Pelodiscus sinensis: one gene and its partners. The protein of the gene in region 2 interacts with the protein of the main gene of each other region in a biochemical or structural test. Links are inferred from orthologs where the notes say so. Each region holds a gene or a part of one and is shown on either strand. Other genes may lie near its edges.

The links. The genes of interacting proteins can lie anywhere in the genome.
Region 1: the proteins of SMAD4 (region 2) and TFE3 form a complex in vitro, tested with the Homo sapiens proteins (2 studies listed by BioGRID). The link is inferred for Pelodiscus sinensis from reciprocal best matches to the Homo sapiens genes SMAD4 and TFE3.
Region 3: the proteins of SMAD4 (region 2) and COPS5 form a complex in vitro, tested with the Homo sapiens proteins (2 studies listed by BioGRID). The link is inferred for Pelodiscus sinensis from reciprocal best matches to the Homo sapiens genes SMAD4 and COPS5.

What each region holds. Positions count from the first base shown.
Region 1 is NW_027466045.1:99,143-106,893, forward strand, and holds the start of TFE3 (transcription factor E3), read right to left. Parts: upstream 3,011-7,751; 5' UTR 2,440-3,010; coding exon 2,327-2,439; intron 1-2,326. UniProt on the Homo sapiens protein: Transcription factor that acts as a master regulator of lysosomal biogenesis and immune response.
Region 2 is NC_134716.1:114,750,490-114,757,538, forward strand, and holds the start of SMAD4 (mothers against decapentaplegic homolog 4), read right to left. Parts: upstream 3,007-7,049; 5' UTR 2,874-3,006; exon of another isoform or gene 2,708-2,873; intron 1-2,707. UniProt on the Homo sapiens protein: In muscle physiology, plays a central role in the balance between atrophy and hypertrophy. When recruited by MSTN, promotes atrophy response via phosphorylated SMAD2/4.
Region 3 is NC_134712.1:57,851,427-57,858,695, reverse strand, and holds the start of COPS5 (COP9 signalosome complex subunit 5), read right to left. Parts: upstream 3,011-7,269; 5' UTR 2,943-3,010; coding exon 2,791-2,942; intron 2,490-2,790; coding exon 2,255-2,489; intron 1-2,254. UniProt on the Homo sapiens protein: Probable protease subunit of the COP9 signalosome complex (CSN), a complex involved in various cellular and developmental processes.

The DNA.
Region 1 (7,751 bases), on a different chromosome or scaffold from region 2:
GAGATGGGAGCGAGGAGGCAGGGCTGGGGGGGGCAGGGGCTGTGACTCCCAGCAGGGAAGGGAAGGGAAGGAAAAGGAAGGGCCGGATAGGACACAGACTCCACAGACTTGAGGGGAAGTGACAGAGCCTGGGGGGGGGGGGTCAGGTTAGTTCAGCACCAGGCTGGGGCCTCCCCCCGGCCCTGCCCCAGTGTCCCCTCTCCCGGTTCTCCTGGGGATGTGCCCCCCTCCTGCCCCAGCTGGGCACCTGGGGTCTCTCCCTGGCTCTGGGGGAGCGGGGTCCAGTGGTTAGAGCAGGGGGGCTGCTGGGATCCTGGGCTCCACCCCTGCCCCCAACTCGCTGTGTGACCTTCAGTGGCCCCCTCCCCCGCTCCAGGGATCATTAACTAGACCCGGGAGCAAACAACATGGACCCTGGAGCCCGGGGTCCGGAGAGGCCAGAAATTATCCTGGGGGGGGGGGGGATCTGCTACTGCAGCCCCATGAGAACCCAGGAGTCCCAGGCTCCCCCCCCCAACCGCCGCTCTAACCACTAGCCCCCACTCCCCTCCCAGAGCTGGGAAGAGACCCCAGGAAACCAGGCTGCCCCCCCCCCGCTCTAACCACTAGTCCCCACTCCCCTCCCAGAGCTGGGAAGAGACCCCAGGAAACCAGGCTGCCCCCCCCGCTCTAACCACTAGTCCCCACTCCCCTCCCAGAGCTGGGAAGAGACCCCAGGAAACCAGGCTGCCCCCCCCGCTCTAACCACTAGCCCCCACTCCTCCCAGAGCCAGGAGCGAACTCACACTCAGCTTCATTTGCAGCCAGAGGCTCGGGTCCCCCAGGCCAGCCCCTGCCCCTCCCCCTTGTGACCCAGTCACAACCTCGCCCCCCAGCTGCCCTCACCCCCAACCCACAGGGTCGGGCCCAGGGGTCGCTTGTCCAACCCTCCCCCAGCCAAAGGGGTCCCTGGGGGCGGGAGGCCGAGACGGGACAGGACCCCGGGGAAGGGAGGGGGGGCACCAGGGAGGAAAGGGGAGGTCCTCGGGGGGAGGGGCATTCCAGCGAGCAAAGGGTGCCGGAGGAGGAGGTGCCGGGGGACAGGGGGTTGCCCAGGGGGTACTGGGGCAGCGGGGGCTCCGGGGGACGGGACCCTAGCGCGGGGGACAAGTAGATGGTAGGGAGGAATAGTGCGCGGGACAGAAGGATACAGGGGGGGATACCGCACGGGACAGAGGGATACGGGGGGGGGATACCGAGCGGGACAGGGGGATACAGGGGGGGATACCGCACGGGACAGGGGGATACGGGGGGGGATACCGCATGGGACAGGGGGATACGGGGGGGGGATACCGCACGGGACAGGGGGATACGGGGGGGGATACCGCACGGGACAGGGGTATACGGGGGGGGGATACCGAGCGGGACAGGGGGATACAGGGGGGGATACCGCGCGGGACAGGGGGATACAGGGGGGGATACCGCGCGGGACAGGCGGATACGGGGGGGGATACCGCGCAGGACAGGGGGATACCACACGGGACAGGCGGATACGGGGGGGATACCGCACGGGACAGGCGGATACGGGGGGGGATACCGCACGGGACAGGCGGATACGGGGGGGGATACTGCGCGGGACAGGGAGATACGGGGGGGGGATACCGCGCGGGACGGGAGGGGGGTGGGCCCGGCACAGGGGGATACCGGGGGATACCGCACGGGACAGGGGCATACGGGGGACATCGCATGGGACAGGAGGGGGGGTAGGCCCGGCACAGGAGGATACGGGGGGGGGATTCCGCGCGGGATGGGAGGGGGGGTAGGCCCGGCACAGGAGGATAGGGGGGGGGGGGATACTGCGCAGGACGGGAGAGGGGTAGGCCTGGCACAGGAGGATACGGGGGGATACCGCGCGGGACGGGAGGGGGGTGGGCCCGGCACAGGGGGATACCGGGGGGGGGGGATACCGCGCGGGACGGGGGGGGGTGGGCCCGGCACAGGGGGATACCGGGGTGGGGGGTTACCGCGCGGGACGGGGGGGGGGGCCCGGCACAGGGGGATACCGGGGTGGGGGGTTACCGCGAGGGACGGGGGGGGGGCCCGGCACAGGGGGATACCGGGGTGGGGGGTTACCGCGCGGGACGGGGGGGGGGCCCGGCACAGGGGGATACCGGGGTGGGGGGTTACCGCGAGGGACGGGGGGGGGCCCGGCACAGGGGGATACCGGGGGGGGTTACCGCGAGGGACGGGGGGGGGGCCCGGCACAGGGGGATACCGGGGGGGGGTTACCGCGCGGGACGGGGGGGTCCCGGCACAGGGGGATACCGGGGGTCTCTGCCCCCCTCACCTCAGCACCTGGACGGTCTCAGCCGCGCGGGGTCCCTCCAGCAGGACGTAGACAGTCGGGGGGGCCCGCTGGGGGTCGGGTTCCCGGGCCCCCTGCCCCGCCCCGTGCGACATTCTCCTCCCCCCGCAGGGCTCGGGGCCCGGGGGAAGCGGCCGGTGTCCCAGCAGGAGTGGCCCGGGGGGGGGGCGCTGGGCCTAGGGCGCGGGGTCCGAGAGCGGCCGCTGGCTCCGGTGCGGGACCCCCCTCAACCCCGATCGCAGCCGATAAACACCCGGCCGGAGAGTTATTGCCTCATCCCCCGGCTGGGGGGGGATCGCCAAGGGAAATGACGTCACGTCGGGATACACCCCCAGCCCGGGGGGGTGCCAGGGGGGCATCTGACACACGCCCCGACGGTGCCCCTCGCTCCAGACCCCCATCGCCTCGCCCCGCTTGTCCCGGGCCCGTCCCGCGGCCGGACCGAAGCAGGACCCGGATTTTCGGGAGCCCCCCAGGACCTCCTGGGGCTGAACCCCCTCTCCATGCGCGCGCGTGTCCCTGTCGCTCGTGGGGTGCGGTGTCCGGTGGGCGCGAGTTGTGTGTGTGTGAGTTGTGTTGGTCGGGGTGTGGTTGTGTGTCTCTGGGTGTGCGCCGGCTGTTGTGCTCTGGGAGTGTGCGGCTCTGCCAGTCAGTTGTCGTGGAGGGATTGTGTAGCTCTGTGTGAGACTTGTGTGTGTGTGTGTGTGTTGTCAGCGGGTGTTGGGTGCGTGAAGTGGTGTGTCTGTGGGTGTATCAGTTCCCGTGGGGAGGGGGGGGGACTATGGGTACCTATTTATGTGGCTGTGGTGTGTATCTGCTGTAACAGTGTGTGTTCAATTGTGTATCATTGTGTGGGACCGCTTTCGTGGTAGGCGGTGTGACCGTTCACCTCTCTGTGTGTATCGGCTGCCATGGCAGGGGTCCGGCGGTGCGTCTGAGTGTGCGTGTGAGGTGTTGCGGGGCAAGCGGTTGTCTGCCTCTGTGTGTAGCCGCTGTGTACCGGTGTCGGTGCGACTGTGCATCTCCGTGTGTGCCAGGGCTCCAGCTGTCCGGGTGCGGGGGTGTCGGTCCCTGTGGCTCAGTTTGTTGTGGCTTGTGCTACCCCCTTAAGCCCCCCCTCACAGCCCATCCCCGCGCCGCCCCGCGCCCCGCCCCCTACATTCCCTCCGGCGCCCCAAGGGTTAATCACTGGAGCAGGCGGATTGGCGTGACCACACAGGGTGTGTGTGAGATACACCCGGCCCGCCTGTGCGTGGGGGGCGGGGGCTACACCCGGCCTGTGACAATGTGCCTCTGCCTGTCTTGCACCGGGAGCCGATTGGCCCAGTAACCAGCCAGCGACTGTCCGGCTGTGCAACCCCCCACCACACACCCTCCTCCGCCTGTTGGCGACAGAGAGGGTGTGAAACAGGCGGCGGGGACTGGGAGCCAGGGCTTTTCCAGCCGAAAAAGAGCCGGGAACTGGCTGGCTGGATTAAACGGGGGCGGGGGGGTCCCCCTTGCACCCCCGGACTGGTCACACACCCGCGGCGGCGGTTGTGCGTCCCCCGAGCCAGGAAACAGAACAACGCATCTGAGAGAGGAAAGGTAAGAGACCCCCCCCCCGGAAAATAGCCTGGAGGGGGCTGGGCTGGCTCGGTGGGGCAGGGGCCTGTCCCGTCCATGGGGCACCAGATCCCCCCGCTGAGCCAGAGCGGGGGGCTGGCTGGCTCGGGGGTGGGGAGGGATAAAGCCTCCCCTGGCAGGGTCAGGGAGCAGGATGGAGGGCTGGGCGGGGGGGGGCATTCCCCAGGACATTGAGGGGCACCATGGGGTGGAGAGTGGGGCTGAGGGCTGGGCAGGGGCATCCTCCCCTGGGCACTGGGGGGCTGGGAATGGGGCAGGGGTGCTGTCCTCTGGTAGGCAGGTCCAGGCGCTGTGGGGCAGAGACTGGGCTGGGAGACTGGACAGGGTGCTGTCCCCTGGAAGGCAGGCCTGGGCACTGTGGGTCTGGGAGCTGGGTGGGGGCTGAGCAGACGATGCGTGGGGCTGGGAGCTGGGTGGGGGCTGGGTATTGGGTGCTGTGGGGCCGGGTGGGGGCTGGGCAGGGGCTCTGCCCCCTGGCAGGCAGGCCTGGGCCCTGGGTGTGCCATGCTGGGAGGAGCGGGCGGCTGGGCAGAGTTTAGTGTAACAAGTTCTTCCCCCCCCTCCCCCCCGTGTGGCTGTTCCCCAGCTGCTCTGCCCCAGAGGTGGCTGCATTGCACAGTCAGGCCAGTCCTTCCCGGGGATGCGGGGGGGGGGGGGCTGTTTCTGTGTCCGGGCAGCTGGAAAGGTCTGGATCTGAGGGTCACTTGAACTGGAAACAGGGTCTGGGGAAGTTGATGCTGAGAGGCTAGTGGGGCAAACCAGGGCGCAGGAGGGACAGGGGGTCTAGTGGTTGGAGTCCGGCTGCCTGGGTTCCCGGGGTGGGGGGTGAGCCGTGCCCGGCCTGGCTGCTTGGCAGAGTGACCTATTTTGTGGCATGAGGTGAGGCCGCTGCGGGAGCACCCTGGGCCAGGGTCTCTGTGGGAAGGGGGCATTAAACCCTCGCAGCCGTTCCCACCCCATCAATGGGCACAGAGCAGGGGGACAGGAGGGGCCCGGCCTGGCTCAGGGATTGTCTTCGGCCCCCTAAGCGGCTTTGGAGTCAGCTGATTGTGTTAATCCCCATTTTAATGAGAGTCAGGAAAATGCACAAAGATGCCCCTCTCTGCGGGCAGCTGGGAACAGAACCCAGGCCTCCAGCCCCCCCTTGCCCTGACCCACCTGACCCCGCTCCCTTCCTGGGGCTGTGGCGAGAACCCAGGCGTCCTGGCTGCCGTCCGACAGATGAATCATTCCCGGTCTGGTGGTGCCAGGGCACTGGAATGCAGAAGGCTCGTTCAACCGGTGCCACCAGTGCCCTCGTGCCGTCGCTGGAGGAGGGAAAGTACCAGTGCCATTAGCTGGGGGAGTGTGTTGCAACTACCTCTGGGGTGGGGCAGCTGGGGAACAGCTGCATATAATGCTGCTCAGAGAGGGCTCGCCCAGCACTAGGATGCAGCCGCTTCTGGGGCAGGGTGACTGGGGAGCAGCCGCATATAACGCCAATTGGAGAGGGCACGCCCAGGGCCAGGATGCAGCCACTTCTGGGATGGAGCAGCTGGAGAACCGCTGCATATAACGCCGCTTGGAGAGGGCTCCCCCAATGCTGGGATGCAGCCACTTCTGGGGCACGGCAGCTGGGCAACAGCTGCATATAACACCACTCAGAAAGGGCTCACCCAGTGCCAGGATGCAGCCACTTCTGGGGCGGGGCAGCGGGGGAGCCGCCACCGAACGGGAAACACGCAGCAGGGGGGCTTCCGTTTTCTGGGGCTCAGTGTCCGTTAGCAGGAAGTCCTGGTGAGCTCAGGTGTGAATTCCTTTCCAGCTTTTCCAGCATCCAAGCCTGTCAGCAAGTCTCCAGGCGGGGTGCGGGATGGGGATGGCCCTGTGTTTTGGGGCTGCTTGGTTCAGCCCGATGGGAGACTGAGGAGGAAAATGATGGAGGGATCTCAGCAGGCGGGCAGAGCCAGGCGCTGGGGGGCACCGAGTTGTGGGCACTGGAGGGGGGAGCCCCAGGGAACAGAGGGTTCAATGGGGCTGCACTGGGGGGCATTCCAGGCTGTTCTGTGGGCAGCCTCCCCTGCCCCCTCCATGCACCTCCAGGTATGCCTGGAATGGGCCCCCTGGCCCTGTATGGTGCCGGCAGAAGGGGTAGCACCACCAGGGCCCCCGGCCAGTGGATGGGGGTCCCCAGATACATCATGGGGAGCCCTTTGGGTATCAGTGGAGGCCTCGAGGCCGCTTTAACCCTTGTAGTGCCAGGAGCAGAGAGGGCAGATCCCTCCAGATACCTGGGCTCTTCTCAGAGTAGCTGTGAATGTGTCAGGGTGTGTGGGTGTGTGTGTGTTGGAATGCTAGCGTGTGTTACTTTGTGTAGTTGTTAGTGTGTGCGCGCACTGTGCCAATGTGGTAGTGTGTTTCCTTGTGTGGCTGTTTTTGGGTGGGTGTTTGGCTGTGTTGCTGTGTGTCTTTTGTGTTTGTTATGGTCTGCATTACTTGTGTGGGGATGGCATTGTGTATGTGTTTTGTGCGGTATTGTTGTGTTAACCTGTGTTGATGTGTTATGTGTATTTGGTGTAGGAGGCAGCAAGTGTGGTGTTGTCAGTGGATCGGTGCGTTAGTGTGGGGTTCCTAGTGCGTAGGTGGTGTGCGTTGTGATGAGGGGGTGTTGCCCAGTTTTTGGTCTGTGTGCGTGCTAGTGTGTGTTGGCTTGGGTGTGTATTGTTGCAGTGTGTGTTACTCTGTGTGTTTGCCTTGTGCGTACATCTGTCGTCTTGTATATGTACATGTTGTGTGGGTGTGTGTAACTGTGAGAGTGGGAGAGAAGTGTGCGTCTCATGGTCTGTGGGTTATCTGCCCATGTGCATCTGTGTGCCCACGTCCCTGGGGGTATGCTGCAGATGGTGTGCAGAGCCCTGGGTGTGTGTCCCAGTGTGTGTCGTGGGGTGTGCACCCGTGTGTGTAGATCACTCTGTGTGCGCAATGGGATGGTGTCTACCTGGCTGTGTGTCCCAGGTGCCGTGGCTCAGGCTGTTTGTTCCCGGTGGCCTGTCCCAGGGTAGTGTGTCCCCAGGTGGTGTGCACTAGGCTGCCTGTCCTTGGAGGCGTACACCTGGCGGCCTGTCCTGGGTGGTGTGTACCTGGCTGCCTGTTCCAGGCAGTATGTCACCAGGTGCCTGTCCCAGGGACGTACACCTGGCTGCTTGTCCCAGTCAGTGTGTCCCTGACTGCCTTTCCCGGCAGCTTGTCCCGAGCTGGCGTATCCCTGGTTTCCTGTTCCGGTCACTATGTCTCTGGCTGCCTGTCCTGGGTAGTGTGTGCCTGGCTGCCTGTCCCAGGCACTGTGTCCCTGGCTGCCTGTCCTGGATGTCTGTACCAGGCTGCCTGTCCCGGGCTCTGCATCCCTGGCTGCCTGGCCCAGTCACTGTCTCTGGCTGCCTGTCCCAAGCTGCCTGTCCCAGGTGCTGTGTCCCTGGCTGCCTGTCCTTGCTGTCTATCCCAGTCACTGTCTCTGGCTGCCTGTGGCAGGTGCTGTGTCCCTGGCTGCCTGTCCTGGATGTCTGTACCAAGCTGCCTGTCCTGGGTATCTCCACCAAGCTGCCTGTCCCGGGCTCTGCATCCCTGGCTGCCTGTCCCAGTCCCTGTCTCTGGCTGCCTGTCCCAAGCTGCCTGTGGCAGGTGCTGTGTCCCTGGCTGCCTGTCCCGGGTGCTGTGTACCTGGCTGCCTGTCCTGGATGTCTGTCCCAGGCTGCCTGTCCCGGGCGCTGTGTACCTGGCTGCCTGTCCTGGATGTCTGTCCCAG
Region 2 (7,049 bases):
TTATATAAAAGCAAAGGTAACAAGAAAATAAAAAATTTTTTTGGCACAATTGTACAAAACAGAACAGGAATTCAGAGAAATGCCTTGAGACAAATTTTAGTACTGTAACAACAACATTTCTTCTTAATTTAATTAAGAGATGACAACAATTCAAAAATTCAGAAAACCTTTTTCTTGTGGAACAACCAAATCTGAAGTCTTAACTGTCTTCAGCCAGTTTTTCCATTTGTTTTTCCTCAGCCTCCACCTGTGTGCAACTATTGCTTTCAATGGCATTTTTACAAGCTTAACAGATTGGCCCTATAGCTGAAACACAGTAAGCCTTTCTACTAATGATATGCAAGTATGTAGCTTAGGTATGGTAGCAGAAATAGCAAACCCCCCCCCCGCACACACACACACTCCACACTTCACTCAGTTACCAAAGGTAGCAGCTATGAATCAAATACATATATGGAGAAGATTTGATGAATGAGGACCATATTTACATTGCCATTTTCACAGTAGAAAGTTTTTGTACTGTAAGTTTTTGTAATTCAATTTCCCCTCCAGCCAGCCATTATTCTTCAAACTTGTAAAGGACAAATTCCAATGTGTACTACATACAACAGCCTGACTCATTGAGATATCTGTATTCCCATAGATGCTAACACTGACAGTCAAATAAAAGTTTCCACAAGCCTATGGCTCATTGGGGTGACTGGCTAAGGCTGGTCAGTTCCATAGTCAACAGTACACAAGAGAATGATGTGGCCAGTATCTCATCCAAATGCCTCTTACAGCCCCAACACAATTGGCTCAGGTACCAATGTTAAAATGGGATGACCTGTAAGTTGCCTTGCAGCATGAGGTTCAAGTCTTCCTTGATCTATATACCTTTAGGGCTGCAGCTGAGGACATAACCAACTCCAACACATTGCTATCTCCTTATCTCTGTCTTACCCAGAGACCAAATAACAGAAGGAAGAGTAGAATCTTTTATGAACAAATGTAGTGTCATTTTATATTTTTTCTTAATGCGTAGGTAACACAGCAATGGGTATTTACGTAATGTGCATTCTGTACTGAAATTTGCACAGGGATAGTATTTTGTTTGCTCAAGCACTTTTTTCCTTCTTTAAATCTCCACCTCTGTGGTAAGACCAAGCATGGAAAATTCCAGCCCCAAAAGAATTTTTCAGAATACGTGCAGTACTTTTGAAATTCTTTGCATGCAGGTCCTTTGCTCTGCACCAGAGTATGCAGATATTTCTCAACATCTGAATATCTATTGCATTTTTTCTTCTGTAAATTCGATTAAATCCATCTATTTATAAAACTAATTCTAGATGTTGATCAATTTCAGGGACTGATTTCTTCAGATCTTTACTCTGTGTATGAACACGGTTTTAATATTATTAAAAGCATATATATGCCTATAAAACAAGGAAATCAAGTCAAAATAGGTTCACGACTGTCAAATGGAAGGGGGGGGTGTCTGTTCCAATAATCATCTAGCCAAAACAAAAGTATTTTGATTGCCAATTACATAAAACTTTTTATCCAGAAGGCTGTCATATAAAATGTATTAATTCTAAGTTTAAATTAATTCACAGCTAAGATTATAAATGGAACAATCACAGAGGTTGAAAACAACTTTTACCTAGTTTACAGAGCGCCCCCCCCCCCCCCCACACACACACACACACACACCGACCAAGGATTGGGATATGATGTTAAAACACACACAAAAGTCCTAGTATGTGCTAATGCACGAGTTGCAATGATCTGTTTGTACTGTTCTCTCCTCAACCCCTGGACTTAGCTAATTCCCCAAAATTAAAGAAAATTTCACATCATCAATCCTCAGCAAGAACTCCTATAAGATTTGCCATGCAGCACATAACGCACAATAAAAAAGAAAAAGGAGTGGAGATTGCAAAGAAATAAAACAAAACAAAAATTAAAATAAAAAGAACTGTTTTGAGATAATATCTTGAAAGCATAAAGGCCTCTGGGCACCTTAAAATAAACTAAAAATAATGAGATTTAAAAGAAAACAAAGTGTGTTGAATTGCAGGACAGAAACCAAATATGAAAAAACCCCAAACAAAAACACACGATACGTTTTAGAAGTAAAGTGTAACTAGGGCTGCGGGCCACAGTACTGAAGCAAGAGTGGCAAGAAAGGCACTTTAATAATGAAGATGGTAGAACAGCTTGAGTGGGAATATGATCAACAGGAGAGTCCGGAGGAACAATTTTCTACACCATGGGGCTGGAGGAGCGGGGAGAGAGAGAAGAGCAAGGGAGCTAGAGAACGGAATACAAGGCGGGCAACTTCCTACACTACGGGGAGCCGAATAAGCGGGGCAAGAAAACGGGGCGAGCTTGTCAAGTGGAGGAAGGGAAGAAGAGGGGCAGGGGAGCAAGCAGGGAGGAAGGATACTCTCCTAACACCTCATTTGCAGTGGGACTCGCACCAGAGGCCTCCGCAGAGGGGCAGGGGTCCCCCCTCGCCGCACTCCTGGGAACTTGTAGCAGGGCGGCCCGTGGGCGCTCCTCCCACCGCGAGCGCTGAGCCGCCGCCGGAGGGGGACCTGGGGAGCAGAGACCTCGCCCGCGGCCCCCAGCGCAGCCCTGGGGGGGGATCCTGAGAGGGAGGGGGCGGGGCGCACTTTCAGGGGCAGGCGGGGTCTGATTGGACGCCGCCGGGGGCGGGCGTTACCTGGGCTCTCCGGGCTCGGCTGGGCCGCGGCGGGCCCGAGCCCCTGCTCCCCCCGCCCCGGTGCGGCGGCCCCGGGGCGCCGCCTCCTCCTCAGCAAGGGGCCAGGCCCTCGGGCTGCGGCCGGCCCCCTCAGGGCGGCCCCGGCTGGGGGGGAGGAGGCACTCACGGGCCTCCGGAGCGGGGGAGGGAAGGATCCAGCCGCCCCGTTACCGCCGCCTCCGCCGTGTTGTTGTTGCAGCTGCTGCCGCTCCACCACCGACACGTCCAGCCGCCTCCGCGCATGCGCAACATCCGGGCGCTCTCCCCCCCCCAATCTTGGGCGAGGGGTCCCCCTCCCTCCTGCTTCTACCATCGTTACGGAGAAGTGGTGGTTTTGCGCAGGCGTGTAGAGGTGAGCAGCGTCTCTAAGGTCGCAAAGCGCCGGGTAACGTTTGCATGCGGGCGGGCGGGCGGCTGCTTTTGTGTGGGTTGGGGCTCATATTTAATATTGTGGTTGCTGTCCCCGCCCTAAGGGGGAAAAGTGAGTTTCCTTCCCACTCTCGTTTGGCTTTTCCCCATCTCAGGGGCCCGGGATTTTGGACTCCAGGACTCTGAACAGTGACAGGGGCGCGCTCCTGCTGCTTGGTGGGTATTGGTTAGCTGCTCTATGGGGCATGTCTGGGGGGGGGGGGGGGGCTTTGGTTCAGTTTCTGGGGGATCACTAAGGTAAATACTATTAAGGGAAAATCAGGGTGTCTGTTTCACACCCATAGGCAGAGAGGACGCTGTTTGCCTGAGATGGCAGGAGGGGAGACAGACTGACCCATAGGTGGTGGCTAGACACCTTGCAAACTGGTCCAGGCACCTCCTCTGGTGTTCAGCGCTGCACATGGTAGTGGGTTGTTGTTAGGGCTCATTAATGCCAGGATTCACCACAGGGCACAATAAGTTAGGGCAGCAGCGAGACTAGATTCATCCATCCGCCTTCAGCTAGAAATTCAAAAGCATGAATGCAATTCTTCAACTCCTTTCTCATCCACTCCCCCTGCTCATCCACCACCTCGTTGTGTTTGCCATTTGACCCAAAAAAGGCTACATCAAATTCATGGGGTTTTTTTTAAGTCAAAGTAAATAGTGTAGCTTGGCTAATTGAAAGACATATTGCGAAGAACAGCCTTCAGGGTAGTCTGCTCAAACAGGATACAGCTCTCTTGGGTTTAGCTCTAAACTTCTCACTGTCTTTTTGCAGTTGCACAGTCAAAAGCCCAGATGTTTTGGAGTCACTCCTGAGTCTGAGATGTCTCCCAAAAGCCTGACATTGCCAAAAGCCTGAGGCTTGGGAAGTATGAGTGAGACCACAAAGAGCCATCATGTGTCATTGACAGCCCTTCCAGTTATTCCATGTTTGAACCTCTCATTTTCTGAGGCAGGGCTAGAACAGGGCCTGTATCATCTGTATTTCCTCAGTCCTCTTATATCAGGGCACTAGCTCTTGCAGCCACATGCACATGTCCCAATATGCTTGTTACAGGCCTTGGGACACACCTTTATACCACGGGGTTATACTTGCAGGTTACATGATTAGACACAAGCATGTGGCCAGTGGGAATCCTTAAGGCTTCCTGCAATTTAGATGGGCTGCAGACAAGAGAGATACAGACCTAGGGAAATCCTAGTAGAGGTCTTACCATAACAGTTTGGAAGGATTACTACAGAGGAAGGGTGTGGGAGTGTGTCCTCTCCCTTCCCAGCTGGTGGATGCTGGAACTACCATAAGGAAAGGGTGTGTATCCTTTTCCTTCCTGGCTGGAAAGTGCTATGTGTGGTTATATTCCAGTACCTGGAGTTGATTTGTTCTGGTTTTGAATTTCTTTTTTGAAAACAAAGCAAGCCTTGAAGAAAGGGTTGTGAAGGGCCCTGTCATTTAAACTTTATCTTTACACCCACAACTGATGAGTTTGCCACCCCCCTTCCACTTAGATTTAAGACACAGAAATACCTGTGATTTATTGCTCAAAGGAGAGAATGAGGTGATTGTATTGATTTTATTAGATCCACCAGCAGCCTCTAAAACCCATACGGAGCTGTTTATTTGTCTCTGGGACAGGGAAGGAGTGAATGAGGGTCATTGCAGTGATAGTTTTCTTTTTCTCTCAGATCTTTTTCCCGGGAATGTTCTGGATTTCAGTTTGTCACCCCTGTTGTGCCTCCTATGATTTCCGTGGGAGACAGAGATATGTTGGAGCTGAGTATCAGTTATTAATTGCTTTGCTGTACATTACTTCAGCTCAAAGAAGCAGCAAAGTGAGCGCTAGAGCACATCCTCAGTCCTCTCCTGTCCTCTTGTGTGGGACAGGAAGAGCCTTTTGGTAGAGAACACCGAGCAGCACTTCCCCATATCCTCTCTGTGCTAGCTAAGGCTGGCTTCCTAACTTGATTTTAAAATGCAGGGTGCCCAGTTGCTATGGTGATGAGCATAATAAAAGAACATAAAAATGCACAATGCAAGGAATAACATCCAGAACTGAGTTTTTGAAACAGATAATTTTTTTCAGAATTATGCTAAGGCTTGAAGACAATAGTGTTAACCACTATTAAATGGAGCAAACTTCTTTCTTTCCCACACAAAGCTTTTTAAACTAGACACGTTTTATTTCTTTTAACAAAAACATTCTCATCTTGACTGCTTGATCTTGTAACACTTAGACCATATCCATGCTATAAAGTTGATTTGACACAAGTTATGTTAGTATAGAACTACCAAAGTTTCTATATTGCTTGGGTGCACTCACACTTGGCTGCTTGTGTTGACACTTACTATGAGTGCTTGTATAACCCACATCTCTTGCTTGGTGTGGTGTACTGTCCCATGTTGTGGCACCAAACCACTTACAGAGAGAATAAAGAGTGCACTGTACACCCTTTGCTAATAGCTAGGTGGCTTTTTAGCTCATGCAGTAGAGGCTAAGTTCTAGAGGTCCTAGGTGCAATTCTATCCACAGGCAACCAGGGTCTGTCTGCATTACACTTGCATCAATATACAATAGTGTGATGCACCCCAAGTAGGTATATCAGTGCTCCATGCTGTCCTCCTGGACTGTTCCTTTTGGGACATTTCACAGTGCTTAGTGGTCTTCTCTCTGGCTCGGAGGGTGGTCACTTCACCACACTGATGGTACATCTAGACTGCCTGCGGCTTTTGAAAGAAGATATGCAAATTCGTTGCGAATTTGCATATCTTCTTCCGATCCCGTTTTTGGAAATTAAAAAAAAAAAAGTCTAGATGCGGTTCTTTCGAAAAAAAACCTTTTTTCCAAAGAACCCTGTACACCTTATTTTTTTAGGAAGAAGGGTTCTTTGGAAAAAAGGGTGTTTTTTTTCCCCTAAAGAACCACGTCTAGACTGCTTTTTTTTTTTAACTCTTCCAAAAATTTGCATATCTTCTTTCAAAAGCCACAGGCAGTCTAGACATGCCCTGAGAGGTCAGCCCACTTGCAGGGGAAATTATCAAACCAGGGGCTATAAGGTATGAGGGCTCTGGTCCTCAGACAGGTCAGAACGCTAGGCAGTCTTGCGGGGCTCTAACCTGCAAGCAGGACAGAGCTGCAAACAGATCATTCAACCTAAGATGGGGAGGCTGCAACTCTAGGAGTAGAGTTGGCAGCAGGGAAAAGGGGACTTAGTGGGGAGCAGGAATTCAGGACCCTGACAGTGGCAGAGGGCTTCACCAGTGGCTCAGCAGGGACCCCACTGAAATGCCAACTCAAGCAATGACAGCCAAACCAGATGGTAGCCTTGTTTCCCTGGGATACTTCCTACCACAATCCAGTCAGGGGCTTCAGCATCCAGAAGTCCTCCATTTCCTCAAGCTATCTGGCCACTAGCAAACCCAGTCACTCCTCTCCAGGCTCAATCTCCTGGGGGCAGGCCACAGCCACAGGCCTGCAACAAACAAGAGATATGTCGTTCCTCTCCAAGGGTGTGTCTAAACTACAGGGTTTTTTCAAAAAAAGTGGCCTTTAAAAAAAAAAAAACTTCTCCTGCATCTAGACTGCCACCGCGTTCTTTTGAAAGTAAATCGAAAGAACATGGCAGTTTTTTTGATCGCGGAAGATCTCATTTTACGAGGAATAATGCCTTTTTTCAAAAGCGCTCTTTCAAAAAAAGGCGTTATTGAATGCGAACTGTGCTTTTCCAGACTGCCTGGGTGCTCTCTTTTGAAAAAGCAGCTCGCTTTTTCGAAAGTACTGGCTGTAGTCTAGACACTCTTTCGAAAGAGGCTTGTAGTCTAGGCATCCCCTAACTGAGCTGCAGCCCTTTCTTTCATATGTTGTGTCCCGCTCTTAACTTCCAGCACAAGGGC
Region 3 (7,269 bases), on a different chromosome or scaffold from region 2:
GATGTTTAGGCACCAATTTTAAACAAACAGAATCAGGCTTAAAACCAAAGAATCTTTTTACAGTAAAACTCCAATTGTCCGGCATTCAGTGGTCCGGCACCAACTGGAACCTGGAAGTGCAAGTGCTCCGGCCAGCCGGACAATTGAAGCTACTGGCATGGAATGGGGCGGCGAGGGGCCAACCCTCCACCATTTTGCAGGAAGGAGGGGGAAGCCCCACACCACCGCCGAGAGTTTCTGGGAGGGGAATGGGCTCCCCACCCCCCAGACTGCAGTAGTTATCGCCGAGCAGGGGAGCGAGGGGCGGCGCTGCGGGACCAACCTAGCAGCACCCCAGATGCTCTGCTCCACTGCTTGCCAGTTTCAGCCGCTTCCCCAAGTCTGCTGCTGCTGAAACTGACGAGTGGCAGAGCAAAGCAGCTGGGGTGCTGCCAGGTTGGTCCCACAGCGCCGCCCCTCACTTCGCTGCTCGGCAGCACTCCAGCTGCTCTGCTCTGCCACTTGTCTGCTGCTCATTAATTTCATAAGGAGCAGTGGCGGACTTGGGGAAGCGGCGGGGCGGAGCAGAGCAGCTGGGGTGCTGCCAGGCACTGTGCAGGGGGTAAGGGGCGGTACTGTGGGACCAACCCAGCAGCACCCCAGCTGCTCTATTTCGCCGCTTTCTCAAGTCCGCCACTGCCGCTGCTGAAACTGATGAGCGGTGGACAAGCGGCAGAGCAGAGCAGCAGGGGTGCTGTGGGTTGGTCCCGCAGCACCGACCCTCACCCCTCTGCTCAGCGATAACTACTGCAGTCTGGAGGGTGGGGAGCCCGCTCCCCTCCCAGAAACTCTCGGCAGCGGTGTGGGGCTTCCCCCACCTTCCTGCAAAATGGCAGAGGGCTCGCCCCTCGCCGTGCTATTCCCTGCCCACCCCCCAGACACAGTGCGGGTCCTGGCAGACCCGTCACAGCCCCCCGCCGGAGTACCTCCCGATACTCCCGCATATCCAATAATCTGGCACCACCTAGGTCTCAAAGGTGCTGGATTATTGGAAGTCTACTGTACTTGCTTTACAGTTTAAATGCTTAATAGGTACAGCTAGAACAGATCACTATACATCATTAAATTATTTCAACAAAGAATAATATTTGTGGTCTTATTAACCCTACAGAAACAACGAGGACTCCTGTGGCACCTTATAGACTAACTGAAGTGTAGGAGCATAAGCGTTCGTGGACAAAGACCCACTTCGGCTACTTGATTAGTTGATTAATTGAAATTTAACATCTCTACTGTGTACAGTATTAAATTTATTAAAACTCATACTGTGTATATTAGAGACACACATTGCCTTTTGCCTGCTGGAAAAACATATCCTGGAACCTAACCTGCATTTTCATTAATTCTTATGGGAAAATTAGCTTTGCTTAACGTAGAGTTATATTCCTGAAAAATATTAAGTGAGGAGTTACTGTACATTATAATCTATTCCAACTCATAATTTATATTGAAATCTATAAGTAATCCAGCTGTAAATACAGCAGCAATTCTTATTCCCTAACCCTGCAACCTGAGTTTCACCATTAAATTTAGGAGAACTTTGCACAAATGAAACAAGTGTCTCTAATTGTATTAGATATAGTTAATGAAATACAAAAATTCAACTATAGATAGAGGAACTATTTGAACCTGGAAACATGTATGGGATGTACTGCTCATTCTGCACTACATCACTATCAAGATTGCAGTGTGAGGTTAATATAAAATAAGTATATGATGTAGTAGGTAAATATAATAGAAAGTTCCAGCTTGGAACTTTTTATTATATTTACCTACTACATGTTCGCAAGTTTCATCAGAGATTAAAGCACCAATTCTGTCTGCACTAAACCCATTGGAGGATTAGGGCCTACATGTGAATGGAAGTCTATATGGAAAGGCAGGGGGTAGAGGAAAGAACTATTTCAGTTATGTTTCATGCAAACATTCTGTATAATGTTCATATCTTCTAAAGTACAATTACTGGTAGTTGCCAATGCTGTCTATATACTCCGTGATTTATATTTTTTCTTCTCAAAGGAGATTTAGGGTTTCTTTTGATGGAAAATAAGGGGGGGGGGAAGAAGAGAGAGTGAATGTGTGTGTAAATGAAGCCAACTATACATATTATGTATAACTGCTATAGCTGTGAAATACAAAGATTTCATGCTTGACACTGAGTTGTTATTACAGCACCAATAGCCTATCTTCTGGCACAACGGATCTCTTTATTTACCTGTTTTGCATTTTCAATATATGCAGCCATATATTCATATGCAGCAGCCTGAGCATTGACTCGGGTTTCAGTGCCTTCTACAGGTAAAGCGAAGCTGTCCATGATAATCATAGTTTCCCCATCCACTTTCCCAAGCATCAGCCCCATTACTTCCAGATTGCCTCCAGACCGGGCGTGCATGACCATCTTCAGCAGGGCCAGAGCCGAAATCTTGCAGTATCTGAAGTAGTGGTTGCTACAGAAAAGAGCGGAGAGATATTAATGAGAGGACAGGTACATGACCAGGCAGGCAAACACACACAGAGGAAACGTGCACAGTACAGCAAGGGGGGGGGGGGGAGGGAAAGAAGGGAGAAGTAGCTGGGTGGCGTTTATCAACACCTACCCAGGGCCCCTCTTAACCGCCACCCGCCGGAAATGCTGCTGACTTCAGGACCTAAACCACACGGGTGGCCCCGCTGCCTCCCCGGGCTCCATGGGCCCCGCCGCCTCCCCGCCCCCATAGCCCGGAACGCTCCCCCGCGCCCGGCTCTCACTCCTTGGTCCAGGGCTTGGCCGCCAGGATCTCCTGCTGCTGCTTGCGGTCGTACTTGTAAATCTCGTCGATGCTTTGCGCCTCCTGCATGTTGTTGGCCAGTTCCCAGCTCTTCTGCGCCATCCCGCTCCCGGAGGTGCCGGCCGCCGCCATCCCCCAGCCGCCCGGCCCGACCCGGCCGCCGCGCAAACCAAGTGTCGGGCGCGAGAAGGGGGGAGCCAAGGCTTGGAATGTCCCGATAGAAACTGGGGGAGGGTTGGGAATGGTACAGTCCGCAAAGCCTGAAACCTCCTGGGCAGCGCGCCCCCTAGAGGCCAGTCTTAGAAGTACCGCCCTACTCAGAACCATGCCCGGCTGACAGCGGGGCCATGGATAAGCAACGCACATGCGTAACACAGACCACGCTCAGCTAGCTGTGCAGGTGATCTCAGTAGTTGCGCACGCAACAACTTAGGGATGTCGCAGTGTGGAAATGAACAGATGGTCAAGCGTTGCTAGTTCTCACAATGTAATCCTGGGTCTCCTGATGTTTGGTTTCTTAGGTAAATCTTCAGCTCCTGAAATGGGAGGACACGAGAAGCTCAACTTCATTTTTAAAAAGTCTGTCCTAGCCATCTTGGTTAGGATTGCTGATTTTCTGCAAAACGGAATAGCCTTACTCTACCCCCTACTCCTTTTCCAAGGCCCTGCCCTTGCTCTCTGCATCCCTCCTTTCTCTGTTGCTTGCTTTCTTCACCCTCATTCACTCTTTTTCACAAGGCTGGCCCAGTGATTGAAGTGTAGGAGGGGATGTGGGCTCTAGGGTGGGACCAGGGATGAAGTGTTTGGGGTGCAAGAGGGAACTCTAGTGTGTGGGGTGGAGCCAAGGGATTAGGCATATGGAAGGGAGTTCTGGGCTGAAGCAGTGGGCTGGGGTGTAGGATGTGGCACAGATTTTGGACTGGGGGTGTGGGTTCTGGGGAGGGGCAGAAATGAGGGGTTCAAAATGTAGGATGGAACTGGAGACTGGGAGTTGGGAGCTGGTGTGCAGTGGGGAGCTGGTTTTTAAGCTTACTCTCCAGGCATGCCAGTTCCCAAGGAGCCACCTTTCCCTCCTCGCTAATACAGAGGCAGCAGTGGAGGGGGGGGAGGGGAAAGGGGGAAGGAAGAAGGAGACAGAAGCCAGCATGTGTGGGGAGCTGGCTTAAAAGCACCAGCTGCCACACGTTTACAAAAATAAATGCATTTTAATATGCCTAGTAATGATCAGGGCTTGACAAATAATACAATCTACTCGACATGGGTGAGTAGATTGTAACCCGGAAGAATTGGGTTTGGGTGATCTGCGGGTTTGGGGGGACAACGCAGCTGGCGAGCAGGGCTCACCGCTGTTCAGCAAACCCTGGTAATGACTATGTCTGTAAAGCAAGGGTGGGCAAGAGAGCTTCTGTGTGTGGGGGGAAGCACACAAAGTCACCACCGACGGGAGGAGAATTTGCATGCTCCCCCACCTCCACCCCCACCCCCACCGCCTGATTGGCCTGGCAGCAGGAGGAACCCGCAAAGTTTCCTCTGCCTTATCCCTGCCCTGCAAAAAGCACGCAGCACTTATAAGTGTTTATCCATTAGGCACAGTGCCTAGGGCCCATGATACTTTTAGGGGCCCATGAAAATGTTTTAATTTCTTTTAAAATCAGAAGACAAAAATGAACTTTTAGGGTCAAAGAAAATGTTTTAATATTTTTCTCACATCAGAAAAAAATGAAACTTTTAGGGCCCACGAAAATCTATTACATTTTGCCTAAAACAGAAAAAAAATGTTTAAGTATTTAAAGTTATATCAAAATACTTTTTAATATTTTTTTTTTTTTATGGAGGAAGGGGCCCATGAAGGCAAAAGTGCCTAGGGCCCACAAAAGTCATACTGTGGCCCTGGCTCCCAGACCCTGATTGGCCTGAGGGTGGGGGACATGGGAAGTCTCCATCTACCATTGGGCATGGGTGCTTAGTGGGAAGGAGGAACAAAGGGGCTCCTCCACCCCTAGATTAATCATGGAGTATGGGTGGGGAAGCCTGGAAACCATCCTGGCCCCGCCCCTTCCGGAGCGGCCCAGGGCCAGGCGACCCCTGGCAAAAAAACTGTTGCCCACCCGTACTGTAAAGTGTCATGCACAGCTAGATCTTAATCATGTAGTGGAATCCCTGCACATGGTTCTGCTCATGGAAAACCCAAGTTAGGAAAATGGGACATGATGAAAATGCAAATGTCTGGCCCTACACAAGGCCCTATTATTGATTCTGCATCAGTGTGAGAGGTCTGTGCCCCTGCAGAGCTCTACTGATTGCTACAGGGTCATTATATATATATATGGAATGTTTATATTAACAAATTTAAAGTTATGCTTCATATTACACTTATTCCTTTGTCTCACATTTAATGAATTTTTGGGCCCTTGTAATGGGCTATAAGAAGGGAAGAAATGAGAGAGCTGGGAAGGTCTCCATTCTTGATGTCATATGGAAACACTATTTGCAGGGGAAGTAGATTCAGCATAAAGAGTAAAAGTGATGAGAAGTCCTTTGGCACCTTATAGACTGACAGATTTATTGGAGCATAAACTTTTGTGGGCAAAGACCCACTTCCCCGACTACTGCTCTGTATTGTAAGGGACAGGGGAGCTGGTGCGCAAAGATGCTGGCTCAGTCCCTGGTCCTGCTCCCCTGTCCCTTACAATGCATCTGACGAAGTAGGTCTTTGCCCACAAAAGCTTATGCTCCAATAAATCTGTTATTCTATAAGGTCCCACAGGACTCTTGCAGATTCAGACTAACACAGCTAACCCTACTGATAGAAATGTAGCTGTGTTAGTCTTGGGTAGTTGAAGCAAAATGCAGGACAATGTAGCACTTTAAAGACTAACAAGATGGTTTATTAGATGATGAGCTTTCATGGGCCAGACCCACTTCCTCAGATCAAATAGTGGAAGAAAGTAGTCACAACCATATATAACCCTCTGATACTTAGCAAGAAGAGTAGAAGCAGAGAGGCCAATTGACAATAAAATAGTGGCAAAGTTCTCATTCTTGGTTTACACTCCTGCTTTAAAAAAAATCAAACTGCAAACACAGCCCTCCACGTCCTAGGATTTGTGTGTGGGAGAGGGGTAGGAGGAAGATGGCCCTCTGTATGTGATGGTTGGGTACAGTGTCACTTTTGGGAGGGAGAGAATGGGGTCCACTACATGGAGGTATTCGTGACCGTGCAGTATCCTTGTCTGGTTCTACGGTATGTCCTCTGTGTGGTATTTGTTTAGGTCCAGATGGTCACCTGTGTACCGGGTGGGAGGAGAATTGTGCATGAGGATCTCGCGTGCCGGGAGTGGCTCCCTGGCAGGCATCGGGTACGAAACGAGAGACATCCCCGCACATCCACACCGGGAGTCCGGTCCCGGCTCCCGCGCAGCAGGGGGCGCTGTTTGCAGCCGCGGAGGTCTGGCGGCAAGTCTCCGGGGGAGGCGGTAAAGTGAGAGGACGAGGGCGGGAGCTGGAGCTGAAGCTGCCGCCTGCAAACCCGACGGTGAACCGGTGAGTGACGCCGCGGGCTGGCTGCAGCCGTGACAACGGGACCGGGGAACTCAACGGCGGCTGCTGAGGCTAAGGGGTGGGGCGCAGGGAGCCCCCCTCCCGGGAGCGCGGGACGCAATTCTGCCCCGTCACCTGCCCCCTGGGGCGGCCGCTCTGGTCTCCTGCCTGTGTCTGAGGCGCGGACGGGGAGTCGGGGGCTGCGGCCCCCTCGCTGTGAGCCGCCCCGGGATGGGAGAAGCGAGCACCCCAGGGCCTCGCTGCGGGGCGGGGGGACCTGTGCCCCTCCGGTGGCGGCCGGGGGAAAGCGCGGGGGTGTCTGCGCCCCTCCGGGGAACGAAAGGCCTCGCGAGGCAGGGAGGAGGCCGAGGAGGGGGGCGCGCTAGGCCCAGGCTGGAGCCGCAGCAGTTTTTGTTGTAGCCTGGTTGCCTAACAACGCTGAGTAGCGTCTTAAAGAGGCAGAGCCCGAGGCCGCCGCGCTGTGTGCGAGGAACGTGGCCTGACTCGGGCCCGCTCTGGTGTCTCTTTCCCCCTCTCTCTGCGCGGGGCAGCGCCTTGTAACCCTACCCCCCCCCCGCGCTGCTGTTGCTGCTGCCCCCCGGTGCCCGGCGGCGGCGTGTCCCTGGTCGCTCTAATGCGCTATCGGTTTTTCGCAGTTTGTATCTCATTGGCTTGTCTTAATAACCAGGCATTTTTATTTTTCTTTCCTCTCATAAGACACTGTCATGCATCTGTGTAATGCATATTTATTTTCGTAGCGTCTTTCATATAAGCTGTACTGAACTGCTTTACAGAGCTTTATTGTACCGGAGGGGGAGAGGGAAATTAAGAGGAATATAAGCAAAAGAGGAAAGCATGTTTTTCAGATAAGATGTGAAAAGAAGTGGCGAACTGGAGGGAAAAGATCCAGGAAGCATGT